5 linked regions of the Neurospora crassa OR74A genome follow. The protein of the gene in region 4 interacts with the protein of the main gene of each other region in a pairwise test. Links are inferred from orthologs where the notes say so. Each region holds a gene or a part of one and is shown on either strand. Other genes may lie near its edges. The genes, in order: NCU01008, NCU03794, NCU04439, NCU03018 and NCU07041.

Region 1 (5,407 bases), on a different chromosome or scaffold from region 4:
GCTGCATCTCTGGTGTGAAGGAATAACCATTATGATGGTTCATGCGGCTGTCGGTGGAGTTAAGGTGGCGAGGGGAGTCCAGACAGGCTGAAATGATATTTGAAGTGTTCATTTCCCCAAAAGAGGGTGCTATAACCGCAAGGTGATGGCTCGTAACATCCACTTGAGCTTGCGTGTGGTCCATGGGGGACGGATGCCGTGAGGCAATGTAAGTAGCCAAGTCAAGCATTCCCTCTTGGTGGTACAAGGGCGGCAAGTTCGGCGATGGAACAGCTTTCAGTATCCCCTTCTGCCCGGTGAAACCGAATGCGCTAGACTTCGCGAGCTCCGCAACCGTTCGAACTTTTGGTTCTAAGCTGTGGCCATGCTGGTGGCGGCCTTTCGAAGTAACTGACAGTTCCTGAGAAACTTGACTATCGGGCAATGTATGGTGGACAAAGTCACTGCTTGAGGGGTCCTGGTTTCCGCTCGTCTCTATCCATTCTTTGAGGGGGTAGAGATTGTAAGAAGGGCCGGACGGTTCTTCCTCATACGTTGCGCCACAGAAGTAATCACGCCCTGATTCTAGTGGTGAATCGAGATCATGGGATGAAGAATCGAATGTGACTCGGGAGCTTGCGTTGCGCGGTACTCTAGAGCTCGTAGGCGTAGTGTCCGTGGGAGTGAAAGGATCTGCTTGGTGAACAGTTAGCGGGCTTTGGGACAAAGATGACTTGTAGACGTACGTTTCCGAGGAGGAATCATAAACCTCATGTTGCCTGACTTGATGGTTATATTCGGACTTGGAACCGAATCAAGATGTTCATACTTGGGAATCGAGTTACGATCCGTCGAAGAGTACCGAGAATGCAAGATGTTGCTCAGTGCTTCCTGATAGGTATTGTTACCCCTGAAACTAGGGAGAGACAACTCCGAAGAGAGGGCGCGCTGGTATGGTGGCGGATCGATGGACCCAGAGTATGGGTTCGCATCTCGAACGCGGTTCTTCTGGAAAGTAGGCATGGCGGTTGTAGAACATAGAGGATGAGACTGGCGGTTTGGTGTCGGGAGGGCTCTTCCGGGGGACGAACTCCCACAGAGCGATGCTGATCTGATATGGAGCCCGGTGTCTCAGGGTGTCGAAAGAAATCCAACCTTGATTCAATGACAAGATGAGGATCAAGGTAAGGAGGTACGAGAAGTATAAGGAGACCTTGGTAACAGCAGAGAAGACAACCAGGAGTACCAGGACCATATAGGATAGAGATAAAGCCGAGGATAAAGGATGAAGTGAAGAACTGAATGATGCGGTGTTAGGAATACGGAGACATTTGTTAGGTCAGGTCTCGCTAGGGAGTGGGAGCGGAAGATGCAGAGAAAAAAGAGGAAATGCCAAGAAGAGGAGCAGGCCAAAGGGACGATTTTCATGAAAGAGTGAGCCATTGTAAATGAGCTACTTTACGGAAGGAGCGAGGCTCGTCGGATGTTTTATTTCGTGTGCTGCCAGTTTCGAGGAACGGAACAGAAAGAACGCAGGAGCACCCCTAAAACCCAGAAGTATGCCAGTGATATTGTCGGCTATTAGTCGGTAGTGGTTCGGAAGGAAGACTCACCAGGCTTTGGTCACAGTGAGACACTGCAAGTTCGAGTGGGGAGCCCGCAGCTGGTACACTTCCGCAACTCCGAGTGATTGACCTGTAAACCCGAATGGTGGTATCTTAAAATCCCTTTCACATATTTTGAATGCCTTTACCCTAAAACGCCACAGAATATTGCTCGCATATGAGCACTCCTCCCAATGCCAACTTGCAAACAACGCAGTAGTATGTCCTTTCCCAGTGATCCATTTTCCAGCCTTAGCTCCCAACGTACCATTACCACTTCCTGATATGCCCGCAGCCATGCTCTTCCGCCACTCAAAGAAGCTCGAAATCGTCCAACTTGTCGCGGTACTTCATAATGTTCTGCTTGATCTTGCTGCCGACAGACCAAGTGACGAAGTCCTCCATACTCCTCGTCACCAGGAAAGCAGGATCACGGACCTCTTCGACACCCACACGGACATGGCCCTGCTCAATCATCTTGGTCGCTGCTTGCACGGTCTCGGCCATACGAAGTCTGGTCATGACGACGGGCAGTCGCCTCCTGGCAAAGGCCGAGACTGTGACCTGGTGCTCCACCTGCGACAGCTTCGACTTGGACTGTGATTGGACGTTAATAACTGCTCGAGTTGAACTTCGATACCGGAAGACATACCGACAGAATTCCCATGTCGTAAAGCTTGTCGAGCAAAAGCTCCTCGTGCTTTCGCCTCACCTCGTTGTCTGGAGGAAGCAAACTGAGACGATGGGCGAGTTGGCGGAGGGACTGTGGCATATCATGTCAGTATGTCATGAACAGTTTCATATAGGTAAGGTTAGTTGATGAAACTTACACCGCACATCCTGTTGTACTTGTGCTAGAAGGGGGTCAGTTGTCATGGTCATTATGAAAAGTCACTGTGAGCCTCATCTCATCCTTGCTTGGATTAACATACATAGTCCTCGGGCTTCTGAATCATGTACCGTCTGTGTGACTGTTAGCAAGATGTTCTCACACAAAAACCACTTAAGGCGAATGAGCGTACCTGGCGACATCGTGATCTCTGTGCTTGTTGTCCGACTTGTAGTTGATGAAGTCGGTCTTCCGAAGAAGCTTCTGTTCCGCGTGCTTGAGCTTGCGGACCATGTTGGCAATTCGTTGTCTGTGTCACTGATGGTGTGCTGTTCTAGTTGGGTCGAGAAGTGTGTCGTTGTGAAAGGTATCAAAGATGCGGTATCAATCAGACGGGTGTGGAGGCGATGGATGGTTCAGTATCGTAATCTGATAGTAGCAGCAGCTGCAGTGGTGGTGGTGTTCTGGCGTTGAACTTTTGCTGCAATGAAAACTCTTGCCCCACACTTTCTCGCCTGCCGGGCCCCTTGCTTAGCGCACTCTTAGCCCGCAGCGAGCTCCATTTTACCCCATAAAATAAACCGGGACGCTTCAGGCTTTCCAGCAATCAGCTCCCGCCCTGCCAGCTGCCAGCCGCAAGCCCGCAACAGCGCCCCGGTCCGCGGCAGGCCCCGCCACTGCGCCGAAAAGAGATTGATCCGCCAAAAAGTGTCGCTGCCGGCCCGGAGCTCCAATTTCCAATTGCCCGCACCGACCGTGCCCGCCGCCGCCGCATCTCCCCGTCGCGACTGAACCCCCGATCCCCGATTCCCGACTCCGACCGATCGCGAAACGGGAGCTCCATTCTTGTCTGTGTGTGTGTGTGTGGTTTCCCCGAGAGGACTTGCACATCGCCAAAGCCCAGCTGTTACAAGCTGTTGTAACCATTACAACAACGACGACGACCACCACCACCACCACCACCATGTCGTCCTCTCGTCAATTCCTCTCCTCTGCGCTCAGGCAGTGCCGCGCTGCCGGCCAGAGGACCGCCCAGTTCTCGACCACCTCACCGGCCGCTGCCAGTATGTTCGCTCCGTCGATCGCAAACCCGATATGCCGCCCTCCACAACTCTATAAGCATAACACATAAGCTAACAACACCTTCAATCACCAAACAGTCCGCGACATCCCCACCACTTCCTTCCAAAATGCCCCGCGCACCAACACCAACACCTCGTCGCCGTCGAGCAACAACAACAACAACGCCGGCTCGAGCCAGTACAAGTCGGACATGTTCAACCTGCTAAACAGCGGCGCCGGCAGCCGGGGAGGAAGAGACAGCTACAACAACGCACGCGACGTCGACGGAGGACAGCGCTATGGCAGCAACAGCCAGAAGGTGCAGGAGCTGCTCCAGTCCGAGGTGACCTCCAACAACTACATGCGCATGATGAGGCGCCGGTGGAACAACGGCGACGTGTACGCGCCGCGCGACCTGTCACCGTACGAGATGAAGGGCAGGAACGGGGGATGGGTGGAGGCGGCGGATGTGGTGGATGAGCTTGGGTTTAGTCCGTTGGATAACTATCGTGTATGTTTTCTTTTTTCTTTTTTTTTTCTTTTTTCTTCTTGTCACTCCCTCCCCTCTCCCTTTCTCTTGTTCCTCCTCCTTCACACACCCCTCTTCCCTTCCCAATTCCATTGTCTCGAAAACTGGCCTCAGGCGAAATGCTAATTTCCTTGGGGACAACAGAACTTCTCCCTCATCTCCGACTACATCACCCCCTTTGGGCGGATAAGGCACTCCAAGGAAACCGGCCTGAAACCCGTCAACCAGCGCAAGATCGCCAAGATGGTGCGGCGCGCCATCGGCCTCGGTATTCACCCCTCTGTGCACAAGCACCCCGAGATCCTCAAGAACAGCAACGGCAGGCACTTGTTGCCGCTTGTTGTGCCCAAGGGCCAGAAGGCGAACAAGACCAAGAACTTTGATGGAGAGGATGAGAACTAGAATGGTCTGGAAGGTCTGGACTTGGGCGGAATGAAGGGGGAATTTATGGGGGAAATTTGCATGACTGGGCGGTTACGGGCGTGAGGTCGCCGTCTGGCTAGCAAGCATGGCTAGTAGCACGGTATGGGCTGAATGGATGGTTGATCGGCGGACTCTATTACGGTTATCGTAGAGTTGGTGTATTATTACTGTATACACGGCACACAAAATGGTATTTTGCAAAGTTTGGGCTTGGATGATGGCGGTCATCAAAGGGTGATTGTGGAGGAATGCGGATAGTGGGCATGAAAGATGGTGTGAACGATCACTCACTTCGTCTGTGCTACTGCATAATCTACAGAGACCCTGACGGAGAAACGAACAAAAAGACTAAACCTAGACCAAAACCGGTTCCAATATCCACCTTCTAGTTTTTGTCTAAAGGTGCTAAATGTAATGTACAACCCAAAGATGAACCATCCTCCTGCCCACCCGCTCAGAAGCGCAAAAAGCCACCTAACAATCATACAACGATGTACCCCTCCCTCTCTCTAACTCAAAATATAAAATTCTCTGTACAAGTCCTGTTTTTCCTTTCTTTCTACTTACTGTCGATATCGTATGTAATATGAACCTCCGTTTGAGGTCAAGCCTCAAACAGCCTGGTAATGTTGAACACAGGTCCCTGAAATTCGGTTTCTTTCTGCCCCTTACTCTCCAATCTCGCCCACTCCTCCGGGTACTCCTCCTTTGCCCAGGCCGCGAACTCGTCCTTGGACACCGGGTCGGGAAGGGCGTTATAGGTTAGTCCAAGCCTGTTTGATTCAGTTATTGTCAGCATTTTCGACAGCGTCTTGCAGGAGTTTTCCAACAAAAACAAAAATGGGAGACTCACGTCATCATACTAGCCCCATACCCCAAGCTCGCGTCAGTCCCCTTGATCAGCTTAAACACCTCGTCCATCTTTCTCCCCCACGCCGCGTTACTTCTTGCGATAGCCGCGCAATACGCATTGAAAACGTA
Region 2 (6,318 bases), on a different chromosome or scaffold from region 4:
TGCTGGGCGCGGTAAGCCTCGTAGTGCAGCTCCTCTGTTGTGTGGATAAGGTCCAACATGTGGGTGCGGATAAGAATCGAACGGAGCTTCTTGAAGTCGCAGTGTTCCTCGTTCTCGACTTCGGCCACACCCCACGAGTATTGACGGCCCTTGACAATACGTCCATCGCTGGTCTTAACATCCTTCTCGGAGCCGATAACGGCAAAGGGCATAGCGGCCATCAAGCTGCGTGCGTGTTGTGCGGCAGCCTCGTCATCCTCCTCAATAGGTGGCTGGTAGATCTTGATACCCTGAGCTTCGATGACGGCACGGATCTAGAAGTCATGGTTAGCGATGATGGGTGGTATCTTCAAGTAAAGGGAAAAACCTACCCTGGACTTGAACCTCGCCAGGTCGGCAGGGCTGAGAGTGTCGGCCTTGGCAATAACGGGAATGAGGTTGACGCGAGAGCAGAGTCTCTTCATGACCTCGATATCTAGGGGCTTAAGCGTGTGGCCGGTGGGGCGGATGAAGTACAAGCAGGCGTGGACACGGAGATCAATCTTGTCCTGACGGCGGGGTTGTTGCTCCTGGAGCATGTAGGACTCGTGCTGGTCGTCGAGGAATTCGATAATGGGCATCCACGAGTCGCGGTTGTTGACGTAGTCACCAAAGCCGGGGGTGTCGATAACAGTCAGGCGAACTATAAGCTGGTTAGACAGAGCTCTCCTACAAGACACCAAGGTCCCCCTGCGTGATGTGCTGTCGTACCCTTGAAGAACTTCTCCTCGAGCTCAGCCTTTGTGATTTCGATCTCGACGGTCTTGTCGACCTGCTTCTGGTGGCGCCTCTTGTGGTCGGCATAGTTCTTGATGGTCGTGGAGAACAGCGTGTTGATGAAGGTGGTCTTGCCGAGGCCGGACTCGCCAGCAACCTATCCACCCACGCCGTCAGCATTGGTTTTACAAGCGCGAGGTTCGGCAAGCTTTGGACAGTGAAGCGCACCATAATAGTAAAAGCAGCGCCTCTCTTAGCAACAATCTTGTGTCGCTGGTTGGGCAGATTGGCAATGCCAATCGGTGAGGCGCTCTCGGTAGTGGCAGGGGCCATCTTCAGCTGGGCGAAACACGAAACTGGGAGATAATTATGGGTAGAGGATTAAGTCACGATCCCGTTGCTGTAACGGCGAGAAGAAGCACCGGCAATTGGAGAAAAAGAGCGTCAGGCGGGATGCGTGGTGTACGGGTATGGTGGTGGTCGTGAATGGGAATCGAAATTAGGTTGGTGTTGACAGTGGACGGGTGGGAGCGAGAGGCAGACGGGGGATGGAACTGCAGTGGTGAGTGGACGGGGGACCCGTCGTGGAGCTCTGTGCTTTCGTTCAGGGGAATTTACTTGTTCAAATTTCCACACCACATTCATCTGGCCCAACCCAGCACCACACACCCACGCAGGAGAGAGCACCAGCGACGGGGACGGGAGCGCCAGGCCAAACCTAGCCCACACTGACTGAACCCCAAGCACTCCAGGCACTGCAGGGCCGCGGCAGCAGACGGACGGAGCAAGCAGCGAGCAAGCAGCATTCGATTCCATCCTCCAGATGAGGTGCCTGGGCGGGGCCACGGCAGCCGTCTGTGATGATGCCGAGAAGGCGCACGGTACACGATCCATATAATCCAATGGCACCTTTCGAGCCCGGCATTCTGCAGTAGTGTAGAGCTGCCACCACACAAGGCCGCTCTTGACTGGCTGCGCGGCAGGGAAATGAGTGGACCCTCCCCTTTTCCACTTGCTTCCCACACTTCCCCAATTCCAGGTCCCCAGAGACGGACCTACGCTGGCAGCTCTCCACTGAAACGCGCTTGCCAGGTACCCTCGCCGAGCATTTAATCGATGCGTGCCTTCCCTGCTAGCGCCATTGGCGGTGATCAGCCATTCATTGCCATGGAAACTTGGTCGACCCTTTGACCCTTTGATTGCCAGCTCTGCCAGCCTTGCACTGTGCTTGGTGACCGTGCTTGGTGGTGCCGTGCAGTGGTTGGTCTCGCTGCGGTCGGTGAGGCTGCCAGATACGCCAAGTCTTTTGCCAGCTGGTGCCAAAGCGAGGAGCTAACCCGACTCCATTCCCCGCCAAAAAGTTTATGAAATTTTTGGCTGGCAGAATCGCCATTGAACGTACGGGCGGTCTAGGCGCAACAGCAGCAGCCTGTAACTGAACTTCTGTTCCACTTACCTATACAGACTCGAAAGAGTCCTCCAGTTCCTGTACATAATCGAATCCCCAGATACTATCCCAGTTCTGCTCCATCTCCAACGTTGACAGTCGAGGCATGGAATAGTGTTTGAAAATGAAGACCGACTTCAAGTTTTCTAATCTACTGGGCACAGTCTACTGCCAGGGCAACCTCTTGTTCAGCCCGGACGGTACCCATCTCTTCTCGCCCGTTGGCAACAGGGTGACAGTCTTTAACCTTGTCGAGTACGTCTCAAGATTCCCTACACACCTGCCTGGCGCATGGCTTGTAAGCTGGCTAACACGGTCGCAGTAACAAATCATATACCCTTCCCTTCTCCCACCGAAAGAACATTGCGCGTATCGGTCTCACGCCCCAGGGCAACCTCCTACTCTCCATAGACGAAGATGGCCAAGCTATTCTCACCAACGTGCCCCGGCGCGTAGTACTATATCACTTCTCCTTCAAGGCTCCAGTAACGGCTCTCTCCTTTTCGCCATCGGGGCGCCACTTCATTGTTGGACTCGGCAGGAAAATCGAGGTTTGGCACGTTCCCTCAACACCCGACGCCAACGCCGACGGCGAGCTCGAGTTTGCGCCCTTCGTCAAGCACCATACCCACGTCCAACACTTCGACGATGTCCGTCACATCGAGTGGTCCCACGACTCGCGATTCTTCCTCACATCTTCCAAGGATCTCACAGCAAGGATATGGAGTGTTGATCAAGAGGAGGGGTTCACACCTACAGTTCTGTCCGGTCACAGGCAGGGTGTCGTGGGCGCGTGGTTTTCCAAGGATCAAGAGACGATTTACACAGTCAGCAAGGACGGCGCCGTATTCGACTGGCAATACGTTGCGAAGCCTGGACAGGACGAGGATATGGTGGACGACGATGACCTGGCCTGGAGGATAGTCAACAAGCACTATTTCATGCAGAACAGCGCCACCGTACGATGCGCCGCTTTCCATCCCGAATCGAACTTGCTGGTTGCCGGTTTCTCGAACGGTATCTTTGGCCTCTACGAAATGCCCGACTTCAACATGATCCACACTCTCAGCATCTCCCAGAACGAAATTGACTTTGTGACGATCAACAAGAGCGGCGAGTGGCTGGCGTTTGGCGCATCCAAGCTTGGTCAGCTTTTGGTGTGGGAGTGGCAGTCCGAGTCTTACATTCTCAAGCAGCAGGGCCATTTCGACTCGATGAACTCCCTCGTTTACTCTCCGGACGGTCAGCGGATTGTCACAGTCGCCGATGATGGAAAGATTAAGGTGTGGGATACGGAATCGGGATTCTGCATTGTTACCTTCACAGAGCACACGAGCGGCATCACTGCTTGCGAGTTCTCCAAGAAGGGCAATGTCCTGTTTACCTCGAGTTTGGACGGTTCCATCAGGGCTTGGGACTTGATCAGATACAGAAACTTCAGGACCTTTACAGCACCAGAAAGGCTATCTTTCTCTTGCATGGCAGTTGATCCTAGTGGCGAAATCGTGGCGGCTGGCTCCGTTGACTCTTTCGACATTCATATTTGGTCTGTCCAGACTGGCCAGCTCCTAGATCGTCTTTCGGGACACGAGGGCCCTGTGTCATCCTTGGCCTTTGCGCCTAACGGCGGTCTTCTTGTGAGTGGTAGTTGGGACCGCACTGCCCGTATCTGGTCCATCTTCAACCGCACACAAACAAGCGAGCCTCTCCAGCTCAACTCGGATGTTCTCGACATTGCCTTTAGGCCAGATTCTCTCCAGATTGCCATCTCCACTCTCGACGGCAACCTGTCGTTCTGGTCGGTCTCGGAAGCTGAGCAGCAAGCTGGTCTTGATGGACGCAGGGATGTCTCCGGCGGTCGGAAGATCGGTGATCGCAGGACTGCGGCCAATGTTGCCGGTACCAAGGCTTTCAACACCATCAGATACAGCACAGACGGATCGTGCCTTTTGGCCGGCGGAAACAGCAAGTATATTTGCTTGTACTCCGTCACCACCATGGTTCTCCTGAAGAAGTACACCGTGAGCGTCAATCTTTCAATTCAAGGCACTCAAGAGTTCCTCAACAGCAAGCTTCTCACCGAGGCTGGACCCCAGGGTCTCCTGGACGAGCAAGGCGAGGCCTCCGATTTCGAGGACAGGATAGACAGGTCACTCCCAGGCTCCAAGCGCGGCGACCCCTCCGCACGGAGGAAGAATCCCGAAGTGAGAGTAAACGGCGTTGCCTTCTCCCCGAACGGAAGTGCTTTCTGCGCCGCCTCCACAGAAGGTCTTTTGATCTACAGCCTGGACACCACCATCCAGTTCGATCCCTTTGACCTCAACATGGAGATCACCCCCACCTCTACCCTGGCCGTGCTCGAGAAGGAGAAGGACTACCTCAAGGCTCTCGTCATGGCTTTCCGCTTGAACGAGGCCGGTCTGATCCAGCGTGTCTTCCAGGCCATCCCTTACACCGACATCCCTCTGGTGGTCGAGCAGTTTCCCAACGTGTACGTTGCCAGGCTGCTGCGGTACGTTGCCGCGCAGACCGAGCAGAGCCCTCACGTTGAGTTCTGTCTTCTTTGGATCAAGGCTCTGGTCGACAAGCACGGCGCGTGGTTGTCTGCCAACCGCGGCAAGGTCGATGTTGAGCTTCGTGTTGTCGCAAGGGCTGTTTCCAAGATGAGGGATGAGATCAGGAAGTTGGCCGATGAAAACGTCTACATGGTTGACTACCTCCTCGGTCAGGCGAGCGCTGCTAAGGAGACTAATACCACCAAGACCTTGGCGCTTGAGTGGGCTACCACCGGCTCGGATGAGCAGCCGGGCGCTGGCGGTATGAGCTTGAACGATGTCATGCAGCAGGATGAGGGGAACGCCAGCGAAGACGAGTGGATCGGTTTGGTATAGGTCCTAGGATTTAGAGTACTATAGGATTTTTGTAACGGTAAGGAAGGGTACCACACATAGGATAGGCGCTGATACGGAAAATGTTTGTCAACCGGCATTCTAGTTTATAACTTGTACAGATGATTTTGATACCAATTCATGGCAATAGAGAAAATAGGGGTTTTGGGATACAACTACAACGCCATGCGAAACTGTGTGAAAGCAATGCCATACCCCCTTAGTCCAACATTTGTGGATTGCTAGATGCCTTTTACTCGACATTGGGAATATCCTCCCATGCCTCATCGAACCCACAGCTACGTACCCAGTTTGGTCCTGGTGCGAGGACCGAGTCGACAATCAGGTGGTAGACCTTGTTCCAGTAATCGTCATCTCTTGTTTGATAATAGAGCTGGCAAATACGTGCAGCTCGGGCAAGCTTGATGCTATGACCATCGTCCTCAAAGAAATGCAGGTTGGAAATGATTTCTTGAAAATCATCAGTATAAGTAGCGGTTCAAGGCCGACAGAAGCGAGGTAATCATCAACTCACCTTCAGGAGTCCCACTTGTCTTCTTCTCCTTAGGCTGATAAGAAGTAATAGCATCAAGCGACAACTCCGGCGCTCCACGCGCCGCGTACTGAACCAAATCCATCCTGATCTTCCACTCGAGAAGACGGACCTTGGTGTCAAGTGATATCCAATCTTGTGCGTTGACTGTCGTGAAAAACGGTGCTGATGTGACATGGTGCCTATAGAAAGTCGTTCGTCAGTCAGTATCAATCTTCCCGTCCAACTCCTTGCCTACCCCTTCTTGAATTCAAGGGGGGGCAGCGGTACGTGACCAGAAACACCAAAACCGGACGAGGAAACTCACATCAAGAAGAAATCAAACCTCGGCAACTTCGTATTCCTCTTCACCAACGCCGCCGCACTAGCCATAAACACGGCGGAATCATACATCTCCGCCGTCCTCTCCTGCAACTCTTCCTTTCCCACCTTCACCTTGGCCGCCAGCTGGATCGCCTCCTCTTTGGCCCTCTTCAACACTCCATCCCTGACTTTATTCGCATCACTCATCCTCGCCGCTTCCGCCAATTTTCTGTTTCCTCTCACTCCCCTTTCCAACAAGTCCTCCACCACCCTCCCCATACCGTCATCCGGTTTGCTGCTAGCTTTTGCGGCCTGCTCAGCTCCCAGGAGATACCCCCCAATCTCATCCCCATGCACAGCCGCCTGCGCCA
Region 3 (6,622 bases), on a different chromosome or scaffold from region 4:
GGCGTCAAGCCGAACAGAAGCACGCAGCAGAGGCTGCGCGTAAAAAGGAAGAGCAACGCCAAGCTCGAGAGGCAAGCGAAGCAGAGATGGCAAGCCTGGAGGAAGCAAAGAGGCAGGCTATGCGACCACCCCCTCCACCTTCCAAACAACTGCTTTCAACACCACCTACTTCCAGGACAAGGGAACTTGTGGTACCCGATACCGGCAACAGCTACGTGGAGGAAAGCGATGTCTACACGGACTCGGAAAAGATGAGGGAAGTGCTCGAAGAAGAGGTGCGAATGGCTCAACAAAAGCGATTAGCCCGATATACCCCAGAGCCTCCAGAACCACCCAGAATCGCAAGGCGACCAGCGTCAACCCTCTCCAATTCTCTCCAACCTCCTTCCCATCAAGTCGATCAACACCAAGACTTGTTCGACACAGAGGCGAAATCCATGTCTGACAAACAGTATCCGTCCTTTGGCAAGGTGTCCAAGCCCACAGCTGCAAGACCAAACCAAACATCCAGGCCGCGAGCCGAACAGTCAAATACCACCAACGTGGAAACACCGCCTCCTCCGTATACTACTGCTCCTCCTACCTTCGTGCAACGATTACTGAGTTTGATTCGCCGTTCGACATGGGGCGTGTGGAAGCTGTTCACATTCCTTGTACCAGTGCTCCTCATCGGTCTGATAGTCTTAACCGCGTCTTCTTATGGTTCGCCGGATGCGAATACCAGCATCCGATGGTATGGCTGGAAGCACTGGAGGAGCAACGTCGGGCAGTTCATCCCCAGTCATCCGCAGCTAACGGATGATCAGTTTAATGACTTGAAGGACTTTATCCTTGAACAATCTTCTTCTACGGAGAGTGCTGTCAAAAACATCCAAACTCTTCTTCCCCGGATGGTGCACGTTAAACGTGGTCCAAACGGCGATCTCATCATTCAGGACGATTTTTGGCATGCTCTTCTGGATAAGATGCTCAAGGACAGCTCGGTTCTCACGCTTGACGGCACTGGTGACATTTCCGAAGAGCATTGGGACGCACTACGGCCGCGCCTCATCAAAGCCGGACTTTTCGAGAAGGGCCCATCGGATGAGCATATCTTGCAGATTGCTGAAGGCACTGTTTCCAAATCTTGGGAACGTTGGGTAACCAAGAACGGGGAAAAGGTTGCCCAGGTTGTCAAGGAGCATCTACCAGGCGACAAAGGCGATGGGGTCACGCGTGACGCAGCCATCAGCCGAGATGAGTTTGTGGGCCTCTTGAAGAAAAGGATTGCAGAACACAAGGAGGAGATTGATGGTCAATTGGATTCCGTCAAGAAAGGGCTTGAGACACTCATCGACACTACGGTCAAGGCGGCCATCTCCAACTCCGAAGGCAGTCTTTCCAAGTCCGAAATCACCACCTTGGTTAGGAATATTGTCAAGAAGGAGATTCCTCGGGCGCAACTTGAAGCAGCCGCTAAGGACGGCATCATGCGCAACTACCACGACTACGTTGAAACTCAAGTCAATCATTTCGGCCTGGGCAATGAAGCTGGTATCGTCTTGTCGGAATCATCCCCCGTATACCGACTTGAGTCGCAAGCACTGCCAGGCAACAAGCACCTCAGCAAACTGCTCGGCAAGCCGAAGCCCATTTCGAGCAAGGATAAGGTCACCCTGGAAGCAGAATACATGCTGGCGCTCTCTGCCTGGAACGACGTTGGCCAGTGCTGGTGCGCTGGCATCTCAGCCAGCAGGGGGGCCGAGCTCGCCGTGGAGATGGCCAAACATGTCATTCCCCAAGCCATCGTCGTTGAGCACGTCCATCCGAACGCGACGAATGACCCTGGGTCCATGCCCAAAGACATTGAGATTTGGGGATACTATCCGGACGCGGACGACAACAAGCGACTCCTGGCTTGGATGGACGAGTTGTACCCTGGCGAGCGCGAAGCTGACATGAAGATGGTCGACGCAAACAACAAAAAATCGCTGTCCCTCATCAACAGAAAATACGTCAAGATCGGCGAGCTGGAGTACGACTATGCCAAGACCAGCGGTAGCCACGGCATGTTTGTCCACAAGCTGTCGGAGGAGTTGCTCGATCTGGATGCGGCGACGTACAAGGTGGTCGTCAGAGCCAAGACGAACCATGGAGCCCTGGATCATACATGCATTTACCGCCTGAAACTGTTTGGGGAGGAATTAGAGTACGAGGGCGAGGAATAACAGGATTGATAATGGGTATCTGGGCGACGGATCTTGAGCTACCGAATACGTATTGAAGGGAAAAGCAAGGAAATTGGGAATGGGGCAAGGCGTTTTGGTCCTTTTTTTTTTTTTTATCGCTTTCAACTTTGGGAAACGTACATATGGGTGGGTCTAGTGGGTTGGTTTTATTGCGGGTGTCTACCTACGAAGGAATCATGTGAGCGAGCGATACCCGTCTTCAAGCTCATTTTTTTCGTGGTTCAATACATTATGCTTTCATGATAGTTTGGCTCTTTTCATTGCTCAGGCACGGTGTTGATGTTCGAATGTTGCTGTTCTAAGTGAAACATGTAGATTGCTGAAGTTGTGGGCGCTGAGATAAAACCACTACAATTCGAATTTGGTTCGATGCAAAAGCTACTGTGAATTTTCTACTTCAGCCCCGTACAACTGCCCATCCAACCCATCATGAACCATAGCAACGACTTGAGAATGTCACTGGGGGCTGACAACTCGATGGTCGTCTGTCTGCTCGTATGACCCTAACCCTGGTCTGAGCTGGCCGCGAGTCCGAGACCCCTGCTGCAGATCCCCTCGCTTACAGTGGATGAGGTGGGTCGAGCTGGCAGAATTGCTCTCCGCCAAAAGTTTTCCCATTCGCATCGAACTGAAAGGCCACCAGCGACGACCCGCAGGCAATTGGATTCGCTCGACTAGCAGACCCGACCTTTGGAACTTCGTCGAACCCACCACGCCCAATTTCCAGCACGTTCAGACGATACAAACACAATGGCTCCAGGAGGCCCCAAAGGCCGCGGTGGCAAGGGCAAAGCCGAGAAGGAGAGGTCCAAAGCCAACAAGGCCGAACACAAGACGTTGAAGAGGAAAAGAGAGTTGGAGAACCTCGAGGCGCTTCAGAAGAGAATCGACGAACTTGTAAGTCCTAGTACTGAACCCCCGTTTCTCACCATACAACCGCACACGCTTCTAAATATTGTGTCTCAATCTACTAGGACCCCAAATCCACCGAACTCAACAAGTTCTCGGACCTTCCCCTTTGCGAACCTACCGCCTCTGGACTACGCGCATCCCATTTCGAGGTCCTAACCGATGTCCAACGCGCCGCCATCCCTCTCGCGCTCAAAGGGCAAGATATCCTCGGCGCTGCTAGGACAGGTAGCGGCAAGACCCTCGCCTTCCTTGTTCCCGTCCTCGAGAAGCTATACCGTGCACGATGGACTGAGTACGACGGTCTCGGTGCCCTCATTATCAGCCCGACCCGTGAATTGGCCGTCCAAATATTTGAAGTTCTCAGGAAGATTGGTCGCAACCACAGCTTTTCGGCAGGCTTGGTCATTGGTGGAAAGAGCTTGAAGGAGGAGGCGGAGCGTCTTGGGCGCATGAATATCCTCGTCTGCACACCTGGCCGTATGCTGCAGCATCTCGACCAAACGGCCGGCTTCGATGTCGACAACCTCCAGATGCTCGTGCTTGATGAGGCCGACCGCATCATGGACATGGGTTTCCAACAGGCCGTTGACGCTCTTGTTGAGCATCTTCCCAAGAGCAGGCAGACCCTGCTGTTTAGCGCCACACAAAGCAAGCGTGTCTCGGACCTTGCCCGGTTGAGCTTGAAGGACCCCGAATACGTCTCTGTTCACGAAGCCGCAGCATCGGCGACCCCCGTCGGCCTCCAACAGCATTACATCGTCACACCTCTCCCTGAGAAGCTCGACACGCTATGGGGCTTCCTACGAACGAACCTCAAGAGCAAGATTATTGTGTTTATGTCCTCCGGCAAGCAGGTCAGATTCGTCTACGAAAGTTTTAAGCGGATGCAGCCCGGTATTCCACTACTACATTTGCATGGTCGCCAAAAACAAATAGCACGTCTCGAGATCACGAACCGGTTCACGTCCGCGAAATACTCCTGCCTCTTCGCCACCGATGTCGTGGCCAGAGGTGTCGATTTCCCCGCCGTTGACTGGGTCATCCAGGTCGATTGCCCTGAAGATGCCGACACCTACATCCATCGCGTCGGCAGAACGGCGCGTTACGAGAGCAAGGGCCGCGCCGTCTTGTTCCTCGACCCCAGCGAAGAAGAGGGTTTCCTTAAGCGTCTCGAGCACAAGAAGGTGACCGTCCAGAAAGTGAACGTCAAAGAAAACAAGAAGAAGAGCATCAAGAACGAACTACAGTCACAGTGTTTCCAGTCACCCGATCTCAAATACCTCGGACAGAAGGCTTTCGTCTCGTACGTCCGTTCGATTTACCTGCAAAAGGATAAGGAGGTGTTCAAGTTCGACAAACTCGACCTCGACGGTTTTGCTTCCAGCCTGGGTCTCCCAGGTACTCCACAGATCAGATACCAGAAGGGCGAGGACGTCAAGAAGCTCAAGAATGCCTCGCGCGCCGCCATGTCCAGCGGGTCCGACACCGAAGGCTCGGACGGCGAGATCCGCAAGAAGAAGAAGGAGGTCAGGACAAAGTACGACAAGATGGCCGAGCGTCAAAACCAGGACGTCTTGTCGACGCATTACCGCAAGCTTCTCGGAGAAGATCAGGCAGAAGACAACGAGGAAGACGACTTCCTCTCGGTCAAGCGCGTGCTGGACGACGATGCCGCCCTCGACGACGCCGCCGGCAATGCCAAGTCCGGCACCAACCCCGACGGCACGGCCAAGGTGGTCAAGCTGGGCAAGAACGCCGAGTTGGTCATCGACTCGCACCGTCGCGAGAAGCTGCTCAAGTCCAAGAAGAAGCTGCTCAAGTACATGGAGAAGGGCCAGAAGCTTGTGTTTGACGACGAAGGAAACGCCCACCCGCTCTACCAGCTGCAAGACGAGGAGGACTTCCAGAAGGAGGGCGACGCCAAGGAGCTCAGGCAGAAGTTCGTCGAGAGCGAAGCCACCAAGGTCAAGGAGCAGGATGTCGAAGACAAGCTGCTGGCCAAGCAGCGGAGGAAGGAGAAGAGGGAGCGCGCCAAGGCAAGGGAGAGGGGAGAGGAGGTCGAGAGGGAGAAGGGTCCCCTGCAGCCGGCGCTGCTGGACGCGCACAGCGATGTGGAGGAGGATCCTTTGGCTTTGCTCAGAAGTTTGCCTGTTGCTGGCAAGGGCGGTGACAGCGGTGACGAGAGCGAGGACGATAGGGAACCGCCTAAGAAGAAGGCTAAGAAGTGGTTCCAGAAGGATGACTCGGATACGGAGTATAGCGATGACGGCAGGCCGAGGAGGAAGAAGGCTAAGATGGAGGGCGGCAGGAAGGTCATTGAGATGGATCATGAGCCGGATAACTTGCAGGATTTGGAGGCTTTGGCCGCTGGCTTGTTGGAGGATTGATGAGTTGGTTTTCAATGTTGGTGTTGGTGTGGGAAAAGGAGAGATATCGGGGTTCGTCATCCAATCATGGATGTTTACATACGTATTTTGCGATAGTTTTAGACTTGTTATGATACCTAAACCACGTATTTTGACAAAAGGGTCGGTCCCATGCCACTATGCTCCCTTCGTGTAGAATACATTTCCAGCTCCAGTCTCTATCCATCCTTTCCCAGCAGCTTGCGGCGAGATTTCGGGGTACTGTAAGGCTGGACGAAGCATTTCGTAAGTTTCTGAAGCATGTCTCTCGCTCCTTCCAGCACAGGACAGCACCCCGGACACTCGGATGGATGGCTGCTTCCGTTTTCGCCTTCGTCAATCATTTGTGGATGAAGGAGCAGGCCAGAACCTGGAAGAGAAGTCAAGGTGTCAAATTTGATACTTCGATCATCCCCATCTGAGGCGGGATTGATCTGTTTCTGTCGTTCGTTACCTCTCATTTATTGAAAGTTTGAAAATGCTCTACCTTCTCTTTGTGTCCTCTTTTCCTCTGAAATCATTTTTTTCGTAGGCGAAACTGTGAGGTAACCCAGCTATCTCTCCGCACTCGTGGGAACATGCCTTTTCTTCCAAGTGATTCGCAACAACAGCGGGCTGGTTAATGTCAACCCTGGGTGTCAGCTACACTGGCCGTTCCGTCGCACCACCTATCCTTCAAGGGGGAAAAAAATAATCGATAAACATGATGGTGTTGTATGACATTTACAAGTAGCAATGTCGGCACAGCATATGTAAGGCTCAAGCCTCAGATCAAGCAGTTCGGAGTAAGTTAAGTATCAACACTCTTGCTAGGGAACCCATATGATGATATTTCGTCCCTTGAATTATTTGCACACTCTCTGCAAGAGACTGGTTGTTGTCTAGGTAGGTATCTGATCAAAGCCATCTCGTTCAAGGCATCTGCCTGAGGTCCGTAGCGGGGAATAGGAGAAATGGAGAGTTAAGGTGCTTCCCCTCGACTGACGGGAGGCTTGTGTCAAACGAACGACGGGACGAGATGCAAGCATCCATGATATAGCCCCTTCACGATAAGATGCCGCGTTTGTTGCGATCAGT
Region 4 (4,131 bases):
CCTTTTCGAAAACGTCAATCTGAAGATCTTTTCATCCATACGTTAGGTTAGTTAGCTGTCTGTCTTATCCAGGATACGCCCAGTTGCTGTCCGGTCTACTCCTTGACAAGTGCATTTTTCTTTTAGCTCCCTTCGCATTCCAAGGACTTGACCCGCCGAGATCGTTGAATCACATTGCTGAGAATGACACAATCATTGTCTCTCGCTGTGTTTGCAGCTGCGGCACTTTTTGCGACTAAGGGTCTTGCGAGCAACTTTACCGTTAGCAATGGCCAGATTTTCACCCCTGGTTTTGTTATCGTCGATTCCCCCCAGCCGGACACGCCTCTTGGCGGAGGTTAGTACTATTAGTACCCGGCTGGCTGTCGGCAAAGGACTTGAGGACTTGCTACTAATAAGCTTCAACTTGTGTAGACAATGTCGAGATTGCGCTCGATGTTTCTGCCAATGGCAAGCTTCCTCTACCGCCCTACGGCGACGACGCTTCCAGCCAAATCTACAACATCAACATCTTCCTTTACAGCTACGTAACGGGCCGAAACTTGACCATCACCAACGGTACTGCGTCGGCCAACAATGCCACACTCGGTGATATCATGCTCTCCGAGCCTGGTAGCACCGTGAAGCATGTCCGGTGGACATGGCCCGACTGCATGGTTGGCGATGGTACGAATGGGAACGATCGTGGCAGTTACAATGTGGGTTTTCCAAATAGTCAGCTTAAGAGTGTGTTGATAGCCATTTCACTGACAATTCAAAAGATCTCCATCCACCAACGCTTCAGACTCAATGGCGAGAACCACTACACGATATTTGATCTTCCCGTCTCTGTGACCAACAGCATCAGCAAAAGCGACGACCGCCCGTCTTGCCAATCACTTGATAACCCGTTACTGGCGCCCGAGGACATCGATTGGACAGACACTAACGAACTCGGCGCCCTCTTTGCTCCTGGTGATTCGACGGTTATTGAGACGTCGAATGTTGGTAGTGGTGCTGGGCTGGCGAGCTGCAAGCATGCACTTAACTTGTTGTGTGTGGTGGGCATTAGCTGTGCTCTGTTGTTAAGCTAGGCTCTAGACTTGCTTGTCGTCCAATAATCAAAAAGGTGGCTGTGAGATGACATAGAATCATCTGCAAGGATACCAAAACACCACGTACTCTTCATGCATATGTTCTTTTTGAAATCATATATTTGCTCTGCGTGGCTCATAATTTTAGTACTAGTTCGTGTCTGGTCAGATTTATTGTCTTCGAATGAGTTCACATAAAGTCATCTTCATCACAAAGATATTGTTAATGAAAGTAGCATTGAGGCATCAGATAAGTTTAATATATGTTTATTTTTTTACTTTTTTTTTTGTAGGGGTACTTCAAACTTATTCCTTGAACAAGGCTGGCGTGCTTGTGATAGCAAGTGGGTCCAGATTAAGTGGGACAGGATCTGCGATCTGCAAGGCTGATAACGAAAAAAAAAGTTCCCAACCTCAAAACAAACCAAACACTAGCGACTGGTCGTGGCATTTCCGTCCATTTCAACTCCATTTAACCAGGACCGGATCTCACAGCAAAAGTTCCCGTTACTGGGCTTTGCGCAATCTCCTAAATCAGAACAAAATGGCGCCACAGACGAAAGACGAAGTTTCCGACGACAACGAATTCGTCGGATTCGACGAGGAGAGCGATGAGGAGATGCACGACAATGATGGCATGTCAGTAGACGACGACGACGAGGACGACTCCGATATGGATTCAATTGCCGACCCGAGGAAAAAGTACGATATTGAAGAGAAGGACTCTGACGAAGAAGACCTCGAACGATTCGTCTTGGGCAATAACGACACCTTCCGCGCCCAGCTTTTCCGCGACGATTTCCTCGCCGATATTACCGATTCCAAGGCTCTCATTAGGACCGACAAGCAAGATGACACGACTGGCCTCGAACATGTCGACGATAACGCCCTCTTCGCGTTCGATACTGGCGTTCCCGGTAATAAGAAGCAGACAGAGGCCGCGCCCTCTGCGCTAGAGGCTTACGAGCAGAAGGAGGACCCCCCAGCGTGGGAGGACAGCGATGACGAGCGGTTGACAGTATCCCTTGCGGCTGCCTCGCGGTTGCGCAAGCTGCGTCAGTCCGAAGAGGAGGATGTCGTGAACGGCACCGAGTACGCGCGCCGCCTGCGCTCGCAGTACCTCCGACTATACCCCCTTCCGGAGTGGGCCAAGGAATCCTCGGCCGCCAGCCAGCGCCGGAGGAGAAGATCTTCAGCCGCCGGTTCCTCCTCCGAGGAAGACAGTGACGCCGAAGACGACATCGAATCCGCCCTCCCTCTCGAGACCTTCCTCCGCGACGTCAACTCTTTCAACGCCAGCGCCGATGCCCGTGGCAGCAAGCGCCGCAAGCTGCGCCCCGAGACCATCGACATTCAGCGCTCGCGCGACATCCCCGACATTCACAAGCAGTCCGTCAGCTCGTTGTCCTTCCACCCCAAGCACCCCATCCTGCTCTCGTGCAGCGTCTCCTCCATCATGTACCTACACCAAGTTGACCCGACCGCGCACCCGGTTCCGAACCCGGCCCTCACGTCGGTGCAAGTCAAGCGCACCGACCTTCGGCGCTCCGAGTTCCTCGGTCCCGATGGCGACGACGTCATCTTCGCCGGTCGCCGGCGCTACTTCCACAGCTGGAACCTCTCGTCGGGTGCCGTCAAGAAGATCACCCAGATCCAGGGCCACCAGCGCGAGCAGCGTACCATGGAGCACTTCCGTCCCTCGCCCTGCGGACGCTACCTGGGGCTCATCGCCTCCGAGAAGAAGGGCGGCGGCATGATCAACATCGTCAACGTGCGCACGATGCAGTGGATTGCGCAGGCGCGCACCAATGGCCGCGGCGGCATCTCCGATTTCGCCTGGTGGGGCAACGGCAACGGCCTCTCCATCCTCGGCAAGAACGGCCAGGTCACTGAGTGGAGCATGCTCAGCCGGCGCACGGTCGGCGTTTGGCGCGACGAAGGATCGATCGGCGGCACGGTGATTGCGCTGGGCGGGCAGAAGGGCACCGGCCCTAGCCAGATTGGTGGCGATCGCTGGGTGGCTGTGGGCTCGAATAGCGGCATTATGAACATTTACGATCGGAATGATTTGGTTGAGCCTGTTAAGAAGGAGGGTGGTGCGTCGGCGTCCAAGGAGGAGACAGTGCAGATTAAGAGCATCCCCACCCCGCAGAGGACGTTTGAGCAGCTCACGACGCCCATCTCAGTGGTGACGTTCGCGCCGGACGGTCAGCTATTGGCGTTTGGTAGCTTCCACAAGAAGGACGCGTTAAGGCTGGTGCACTTGCCTAGCTGCACCGTTTACAGGAACTGGCCTACGGAGCAAACGCCTTTGGGTAGGATCACTGCTGTGGCGTTTAGCCACCAGAATGGTGGTGATGTGTTGGCGGTGGGCAATGATGTGGGCAAGATTAGGATGTGGGAGATTAGGAGCTAGATCTGCGCATTGTGTAGTGCGTTGAGTTGGCGATAAAATAGTGCGGAGTATAAACTAGTGGTAATCTAAGGGTTTGAAGGTTTTGGGCCATGAAATTCTGTCCAGCTCGTCTAAAAGGTTTCAGCAAGTGTCAGCCCTATGGCAACGATATGTATTCCCATGCTTCTCCTTGTACGCATGACATGCATCAAACCACGTCTTCAGAGGCATCAGTATCCCCTCAATCCTCAGGTGCTTCCAGTTTCCGTTTGCTTTACCTCCTTCTCCCTTTGCGACTTCTCCTTTCCCTTCAACTTCGCCTCCTTCTTCTTCCCCAGCCTTTCCTCTCTTTTACTCTGCAACTTTTCCTCCAAATCCGGATCGAAAATGTGCTTGAGCATCGCGTGCTCCGGCTGATCTTCGATGACCTTATTCCTGGGGTAAATCTTGCGATGCCCTATTGAATACTTTGAGAGCGCCTGAGGTGTTGTGAATCGCTGCGGCCTTGACTCCCCCCCGGCCTGAATGATTCTATCGGTTTCAAGGACATCATAGATGTTGACGTGTACGGCTTTAATGGCCTGGTGAGGGCGAAAAGAAATGGGTATCAGTAATGGCCGGTTCCCCGGTAGTGTGGCCTAGAGCGAGAAGGGACCAAAGAAG
Region 5 (6,108 bases), on a different chromosome or scaffold from region 4:
GCTTGAGGAAGAGACCACAGGCATTGCAGAGGACCTGGCCCATCTCGTCGCGGCGCCATAGCGGCGTTGTCGAGGTCGCGCAGTTCTGGCACGTGGGCTGTGTGGTTTCGCGATCATGGTTAGCCATTGTCGCCATGTTTGCTGTTGTTGGCGGTGGTGGTGGTGGTGGTGGTGGTGCAGGTGCGCTGTCGGATAAGAGATGGGAACCTCAATGGTATCGAGAGGGAGAGATAGAAGGCCGATTAGATGCTGGCGATAAGCCAACCTTGATAAATAAATGCGGGAATGGAGTGGAAGCTGGTGAATGAGATAGAACGTGGAGGGATGTCGATAAGAACGAAGCACGGAAATGATAAGGAAATTTTTTGACGGGGCCGCTTCCAGGTTTGGGGCGCTGCAGCCCAGTGGGTTACCACCAAAGAAGTGGGCTGTTGCGATAACAACCCGGTCGGGCCATGGAGGGGCTTAGATAAGCAGCCAGAATTCCACCAAAACCCGGCTCTATGGCCAATGGCAATCGTTGCCATTCTCAGCAAACCCGTGGCCTTGGCTTTTCGTGACGTTGATCCATTGCCAACCGCCCGATTGTGTCGCAAGACGCGACTGGGATAATGCGATACGCGATAAGGGGGACAGATACAACAACACCAATATGGAGTAGACTTACCAAGTTGCCTCCTGGACCTGGATGCGAGCTGGCAGCTGGAGAGGTGCCTGGAGGAATCATGGGAGGAGCGGCCATGGTCATGGGCCTGCCATCCATTGCAATGTCAGCAAAGTTGGCGCATCGCGGTTACGTGTCAAGCAGAGCCACCAATGCCAATGCGCCTTGTACCACTGCTTCTTCTTCGGCATCTGTGAACCCAATTGACTGAAAACTAACCTAGGCTGTGGTGATGTGACTGTCGCCGGCGTATTGTTGTTGTTGTTGTTATTGTTATTGTTGTTGTTGGTGGTGACGGTGGTCGTGGTGGTCGTGGTGGTGGTAGTGGCAATGGATGCGATACCGGGCAACATATGCGACATGTTTTGAGGCACCGAGGCCTGGGTCGACGTCGAGCTCGGTCGGGATATGGGTTCGGGTTCAAGCGTGGTCGGCACTGGCAAGGATGGCGATGCCGCCGCGGGCTGCTGTTGCGTCGTGGGATCCTCCATTATGACGGCTTGAACCGGAGGCAGCTCCAACTCGGTGGGTGGTGTAAATGATGTTGGATATTGCGGATGAATAAGGGGAAGAAGGCCCGGAGATCGAGTCGAAGCCAGCTTGACTTTCACGGCGGTTGAAGGCGGCGTCGGTGCCAATTGACCCACTCGTGGTGGATGCGAGCGAGACCGTGGGCCCGTGACCGGGATTGCCAACTTCGGGATCGAGACTGCGCAGGCGGAGGGAGGTGCGGGTGTGTGGTGGTCGAGGTCAACGTCCCAGAAATGACGTCTGTGCTTATGATGAATTCGATTTGTTTCTTTTCCTTTTCTCTTCTTCTCAAGGATAGACAACGACAATTGCCGTCGATCTTGGCAAAGGTCACAAGAAGCAGCGATACCTGAAGGTCTTGGGGTTCGGGATAAAGACCGACGCCAGGGATACGAAGGGGAAATCGAAGGGAGTAGTGTAGAATGTCGCGGGGCCGAAGAAGAAAAAGAAGGGGAAGATGTTGCAGGGACGGAAGGAGTTCTGATTCTTGGCGACACAAAACCGAACCTACCCCTTTCTGACGGAAAACGTTGATGGATTTCGAAACCTCGTGCACGGAATGCTGTAATCCGTGGCGTACCACAGTGCAGATTGTGCTTGCCCGATCATGATGACCACAGCGCGCCAGGGTCGTCAGATCTTTGCAGGTTCTCATTGGGCGAACCTGGGATGATTTCTTGGTTCTTCAGCTGGAAAACCAACGACGAACGTTATCCAGCCTTACCGCGACTTTATCACGGCGAACCTGAAAATTGCTGCTGTTAAGTTCGTCAACTTTGACTCGGGCGGGATTCGATGCTTCACCATCAATTACTTCAGCGTATCTTGAACACCTTGGTGAGATTTTACCGACGGTACAGGTGTCAACAATGGCCCTGCTGGGAGTATACAAATCACGTTGAGACCCCAGCAAGTCAAAACGCTCTTGTCGCCAATCCCACCATGGCATATCAAGACCTTTTGATGTCGCCAGCACGTGTGATTTCTTGTTGATGTTCCGTGCCGTGCCGTGCAAGCCCCTGTCATGATAAGCTAGTATGTAGATAAGATAACATCTACAACCTGGGGGGAAAAAACAGCTGAAAGGAGCAGATGGCCAAGAGTACTTGGATAGACTCGTTGCGAAGTACAGCAGGACAGTAATGACAGAACCAAACTTCCACCTCGCTGAGATTTGAAATAACTGAATCCGGTCGTTTTCTTATATTTGCTCCTTTTTTATGCTGTTGTCGTCCTCAATGAAAATACCAGGTTCCAAAAGTTACAACTTCCATGCAAGTGGAAGTTCCAGTTATCAGATAAGGAGCTGCCCCTGCATCTGCCAGCTGGCCGCTGATCCTGTCGCGCTTCTGCAGCCGGAACTCAACCTGCAAGAAGCGCCGCGCCCCCACTCTTACCAGCTGCGGCAGGCTTGTGTTCCAAAAATTTCCATCCGTGCAGCGCGATTCGGCTGGCCATCTTGCCATACAATCCCTTCAACAAGCCATTTATCAAATCCAACCACCAGACCCAAGTCGCTCGCCCTGATATCGTGACCTGTCGCACAACCTCAATCGAGACCTCTGATTATTCATAAACATCAACAGCCCACAAGAGCCCCGAGAAACACATTTACAGCCAAAATGCCGTCCACACACAAGAAGGAGAAGCCGTGGGATACAGACGACATCGACAAGTGGAAGGTCGACCCTTTCACCAAGGACGAATCCTCCGGCCCCTTCCTCGAGGAGTCTTCGTTTATGACCCTATTCCCCAAGTACCGCGAGCGTTATCTACGAGACTCGTGGCCACTCATCACCAAGGCCCTCGACAAGCACGGCATCACCGCAGTTCTCGATTTGGTGGAGGGTTCCATGACAGTGAAGACGACAAGAAAGGTACGGCGGATGCGTTTGTTGTCTTTATAGTCACCACTCTTTGCTAACTCACGTCCAGACATATGACCCCGCAGCTATTCTTAACGCCCGCGATCTCATCAAGTTGCTCGCCCGTTCAGTACCAGCCCCACAAGCGATCAAAATTCTCGAAGATGGCATGGCCTGCGACATCATCAAGATCCGCAGCATGGTACGGAACAAGGAGCGTTTTGTTAAGAGGCGCCAAAGAATTCTCGGACAGAACGGCACAACGCTCAAGGCTCTCGAGCTTCTCACACAAACATATATCCTCGTGCACGGAAACACAGTGTCGGTAATGGGTCCTTTCAAGGGTCTGAAGGAGGTGAGGAGGGTTGTTGAGGACACCATGAACAACGTTCACCCAATTTACATGATTAAGGAGTTGATGTAAGTTTTGCGCCTGCACGCCCACTTGCGACGCCCCACAACAACAATAACTGACATGAGAAAACAGGATCAAACGCGAACTCGCAAAGGACCCCGCTCTTGCCCACGAAGACTGGTCTCGTTACCTCCCCAACTTCAAGAAGCGCACGCTTTCCAAGCGCCGCGTCCCCCACGTCGTCAACGACAAGACCAAGAAGAACTATACACCCTTCCCCCCTGCGCCCGAGAAGAGCAAGGTGGATCTCCAGATCGAGTCCGGCGAATACTTTCTCGGCAAGGAGGCCAAGCAGCGGGTGGCGGAGCAGGAGCGCGCAGAGAAGGCCAAGCAGAAGAAGGAGGAGAAGAAGCGCGAGCGCGAGAAGGAGTATGTGCCGCCCGAGGAGTTGACGGACAAGAAGGCCAAGAAGAGGAAGACGAGCGACTAAGCTGGTACAAGTGGTGCAATCCAAAATATGGGGGCGGTGGAGGTGGAAATGGAGTTGAGGAAGACGATGATGAAGAGAAAGAGAAAGGATCCTGGAATCCCATGATACCCATACTTCAGCAGACGATTGAGATTTCTCCTGCTTCGGGATCCAAGGGTGATCTGGTTGCTAAATTTCACCAAAAGCCTTTGTCAAATGTGTTATCAAAAACAATGACTTGTCCAGAAAAGATGTCGGTTCTTGAATCTGTCGACATTTCGAAACCCAAGGCCGAAACAAAACCCGATGACGATCGCGAATAAAGCCCGATGTGGCAGACCCGCACCACAACCGGGCTGCTCCACCCCGGCGGATCGCAAACCAGGGGCATCACAAGGCGGGCCGAGGCAGTTGCATCATTGGAGCGGGATCCGGCAACGAATGCGGGGGAGAGTGGGGGCGGCCATTGGTCGGTGGCAGGGTTGGTGGGAGAGGCTCAATGACAGAGTGACAACACCCCTTTCCCCGGGTCCAATTGATAACAAATCTGGCCGATGTCGCAACTGATTTAAACTTGATGACCCTTTCCTTCTTTCACTTCTTGAACATACTTCAACACTCATCCAGTGGATTGGCCTCGGTAAAACACAACCCACACATAAACACAACGCCAAGATGCCTCTCCAACTCACTGTCAAGAAAATTGACGGTAAACCCGGCCAGGTTTACTACCCGTAAGTGTTTTGTTCTTCCTCTTCACATAACCTCACCTTTCTTCTCCCCCATACATATCCCCATCACCACCACCAACCAACTCACTCCCACCATCCTCCCCGCATGACTAACCCTCGGCCTCCCCATCTAGCCTCCAACTAAACACCATCCCCAAACCAACCCCCGGCCCCGGCGAGCTTCTCATCCGCCTCCGGTCCTGCGCCCTCAACCACCGCGACCTCTTCATCCGCCAACACCTCTACCCCGGCATCTCCTTCGAGCAACCTTTTCTCGCTGACGGCTACGGCGTCGTCGAGTCCACTGGCCCTTCCGTCTCCCCTGCCGCTTCCCAGCTCGTCGGCAAACCCGTCCTCATCACCCCCAGCCGCGGATGGATTTCCTCCCCCGACGGGCCCGACGACCCCAACCAGCCCTGGACGGTCATTGGCTCATCTCAGTTGACCGACGCCGGCACGGGGCAGGAGTACATTGTTGTTCCCGAGGCGGAGGCAGTACCCGCGCCAGAGCATCTGAGCGCTGCTGAGGGCGCAGCCCTCCCGCTCGTTGGACTAACGGGGTGGAGGGCGTTGGTGACCAAGGCGCAGGCCAAACCGGGGCAGAATATTCTCGTGACGGGAATTGGGGGTGGTGTGGCTTTGCAGATGTTGCAGTTCGCGGTGGCCATGGGGTGTAATGTCTTTGTGACGTCGGGTAACGCGGAGAAAATCGAGAAGGCGAAGAAGATGGGAGCCAAGGGGGGCGTCATTTACAAGGACAAGGATTGGGATAAGCAGTTGATGAAACAGTTGCCGAAGGACAGGCCGTATCTGGATGCGGTGGTGGATGGAGCGGGTGGGGACGTGGTGGCGAGGAGTGTTAAGCTGTTGAAGTCGGGAGGCGTGATTAGTAGTTATGGCATGACGGTTTCGCCTAAGATGGATTGGTTGATGCAGGCGGTGCTAAAGAATGTGGAGTTGAAGGGGTCGACGATGGGGAGCAGAAAGGAGTTTGAGGATATGGTGGCGTTTGTGAGAGAGAAGGGAATCAGGCCGGTGGTGAGTAAGGTGGTGAAGGGACTGGATAATTTGGAGGGGATTGATGAGTTGTTTGAGGAGATGAAGGAGGGAAAGCAGTTTGGCAAGTTGGTGGTTTTGATTGATGGAAAGGAGGACCAGGACAAGAGTAAGTTGTGAACATTTCTGGCGCTGGGGAGAAAACGATGTGAGGAGGTTATAACTGATCATACCTAGTCTCAGTAGAGCACTAAAAGCATCAAAAAAGGAGCGATATCTTCCAATGTCTATACTCATTGAGCAAAAGGAGGACGCACGAACGATGTATTCTGACAACTTGCATATTAAATGAAAATAGAACACCCACACAAAAGAAAGAAAAGTGCGAAAGGAAAAAAAAGACAAAAAGAAGAGGACCCATCTCACCAGAACACCTTCCCATTTGGACGAGCTGGGAATCGAACCCAGGACCTTTCGCATGCTCAGAATAAACATGC

Evidence for each region.
Region 1: the proteins of NCU03018 (region 4) and NCU01008 interact in binary tests that used the Saccharomyces cerevisiae proteins (3 or more experiments, as listed by UniProt). The link is inferred for Neurospora crassa OR74A from reciprocal best matches to the Saccharomyces cerevisiae genes UTP18 and IMP3.
Region 2: the proteins of NCU03018 (region 4) and NCU03794 interact in binary tests that used the Saccharomyces cerevisiae proteins (3 or more experiments, as listed by UniProt). The link is inferred for Neurospora crassa OR74A from reciprocal best matches to the Saccharomyces cerevisiae genes UTP18 and PWP2.
Region 3: the proteins of NCU03018 (region 4) and NCU04439 interact in binary tests that used the Saccharomyces cerevisiae proteins (3 or more experiments, as listed by UniProt). The link is inferred for Neurospora crassa OR74A from reciprocal best matches to the Saccharomyces cerevisiae genes UTP18 and HCA4.
Region 5: the proteins of NCU03018 (region 4) and NCU07041 interact in binary tests that used the Saccharomyces cerevisiae proteins (3 or more experiments, as listed by UniProt). The link is inferred for Neurospora crassa OR74A from reciprocal best matches to the Saccharomyces cerevisiae genes UTP18 and KRR1.

The regions. Positions count from the first base shown.
Region 1 is NC_026505.1:2,663,260-2,668,666, reverse strand, and holds NCU01008 (U3 small nucleolar ribonucleoprotein IMP3), read right to left. Parts: upstream 2,906-5,407; 5' UTR 2,707-2,905; coding exon 2,606-2,706; intron 2,547-2,605; coding exon 2,516-2,546; intron 2,438-2,515; coding exon 2,414-2,437; intron 2,347-2,413; coding exon 2,236-2,346; intron 2,181-2,235; coding exon 1,896-2,180; 3' UTR 1,530-1,895; downstream 1-1,529. Other genes in the region: NCU01009 (hypothetical protein), read right to left, coding at 1-672, 726-1,002; NCU01007 (mito ribosomal protein S18), read left to right, coding at 3,377-3,476, 3,573-3,985, 4,148-4,405; complex I intermediate-associated protein CIA84, read right to left, coding at 5,031-5,199, 5,280-5,407. UniProt on the Saccharomyces cerevisiae protein: Required for the early cleavages at sites A0, A1 and A2 during 18S ribosomal pre-RNA processing.
Region 2 is NC_026505.1:2,435,829-2,442,146, reverse strand, and holds NCU03794 (periodic tryptophan protein 2), read left to right. Parts: upstream 1-2,153; 5' UTR 2,154-2,327; coding exon 2,328-2,458; intron 2,459-2,525; coding exon 2,526-5,094; 3' UTR 5,095-5,264; downstream 5,265-6,318. Other genes in the region: NCU03795 (cell division control protein 12), read right to left, coding at 1-314, 372-682, 751-913, 985-1,089; NCU03793 (hypothetical protein), read right to left, coding at 5,345-5,562, 5,627-5,826, 5,952-6,318. UniProt on the Saccharomyces cerevisiae protein: Required for bud-site selection and cell separation. Also involved in nucleolar processing of pre-18S ribosomal RNA.
Region 3 is NC_026504.1:3,353,145-3,359,766, forward strand, and holds NCU04439 (ATP-dependent RNA helicase dbp-4), read left to right. Parts: upstream 1-2,857; 5' UTR 2,858-2,978; coding exon 2,979-3,125; intron 3,126-3,202; coding exon 3,203-5,527; 3' UTR 5,528-5,662; downstream 5,663-6,622. Other genes in the region: NCU04440 (hypothetical protein), read left to right, coding at 1-2,207. UniProt on the Saccharomyces cerevisiae protein: ATP-dependent RNA helicase required for ribosome biogenesis. Involved in the release of U14 snoRNA in pre-ribosomal complexes. Required for pre-rRNA cleavage at site A2.
Region 4 is NC_026501.1:8,426,113-8,430,243, forward strand, and holds NCU03018 (small nucleolar ribonucleoprotein complex subunit), read left to right. Parts: upstream 1-1,331; 5' UTR 1,332-1,617; coding exon 1,618-3,489; 3' UTR 3,490-3,667; downstream 3,668-4,131. Other genes in the region: NCU03019 (hypothetical protein), read left to right, coding at 184-337, 415-698, 762-1,073; NCU03017 (hypothetical protein), read right to left, coding at 3,717-4,106. UniProt on the Saccharomyces cerevisiae protein: Involved in nucleolar processing of pre-18S ribosomal RNA and ribosome assembly.
Region 5 is NC_026504.1:4,997,282-5,003,389, forward strand, and holds NCU07041 (90S preribosome/SSU processome component KRR1), read left to right. Parts: upstream 1-2,638; 5' UTR 2,639-2,817; coding exon 2,818-3,072; intron 3,073-3,130; coding exon 3,131-3,480; intron 3,481-3,547; coding exon 3,548-3,905; 3' UTR 3,906-4,412; downstream 4,413-6,108. Other genes in the region: asd-4 (GATA type zinc finger protein ASD4), read right to left, coding at 1-97, 668-752, 884-1,155; NCU07042 (alcohol dehydrogenase), read left to right, coding at 4,560-4,618, 4,750-5,780, 5,849-5,865. UniProt on the Saccharomyces cerevisiae protein: Required for 40S ribosome biogenesis. Involved in nucleolar processing of pre-18S ribosomal RNA and ribosome assembly. Essential for vegetative growth.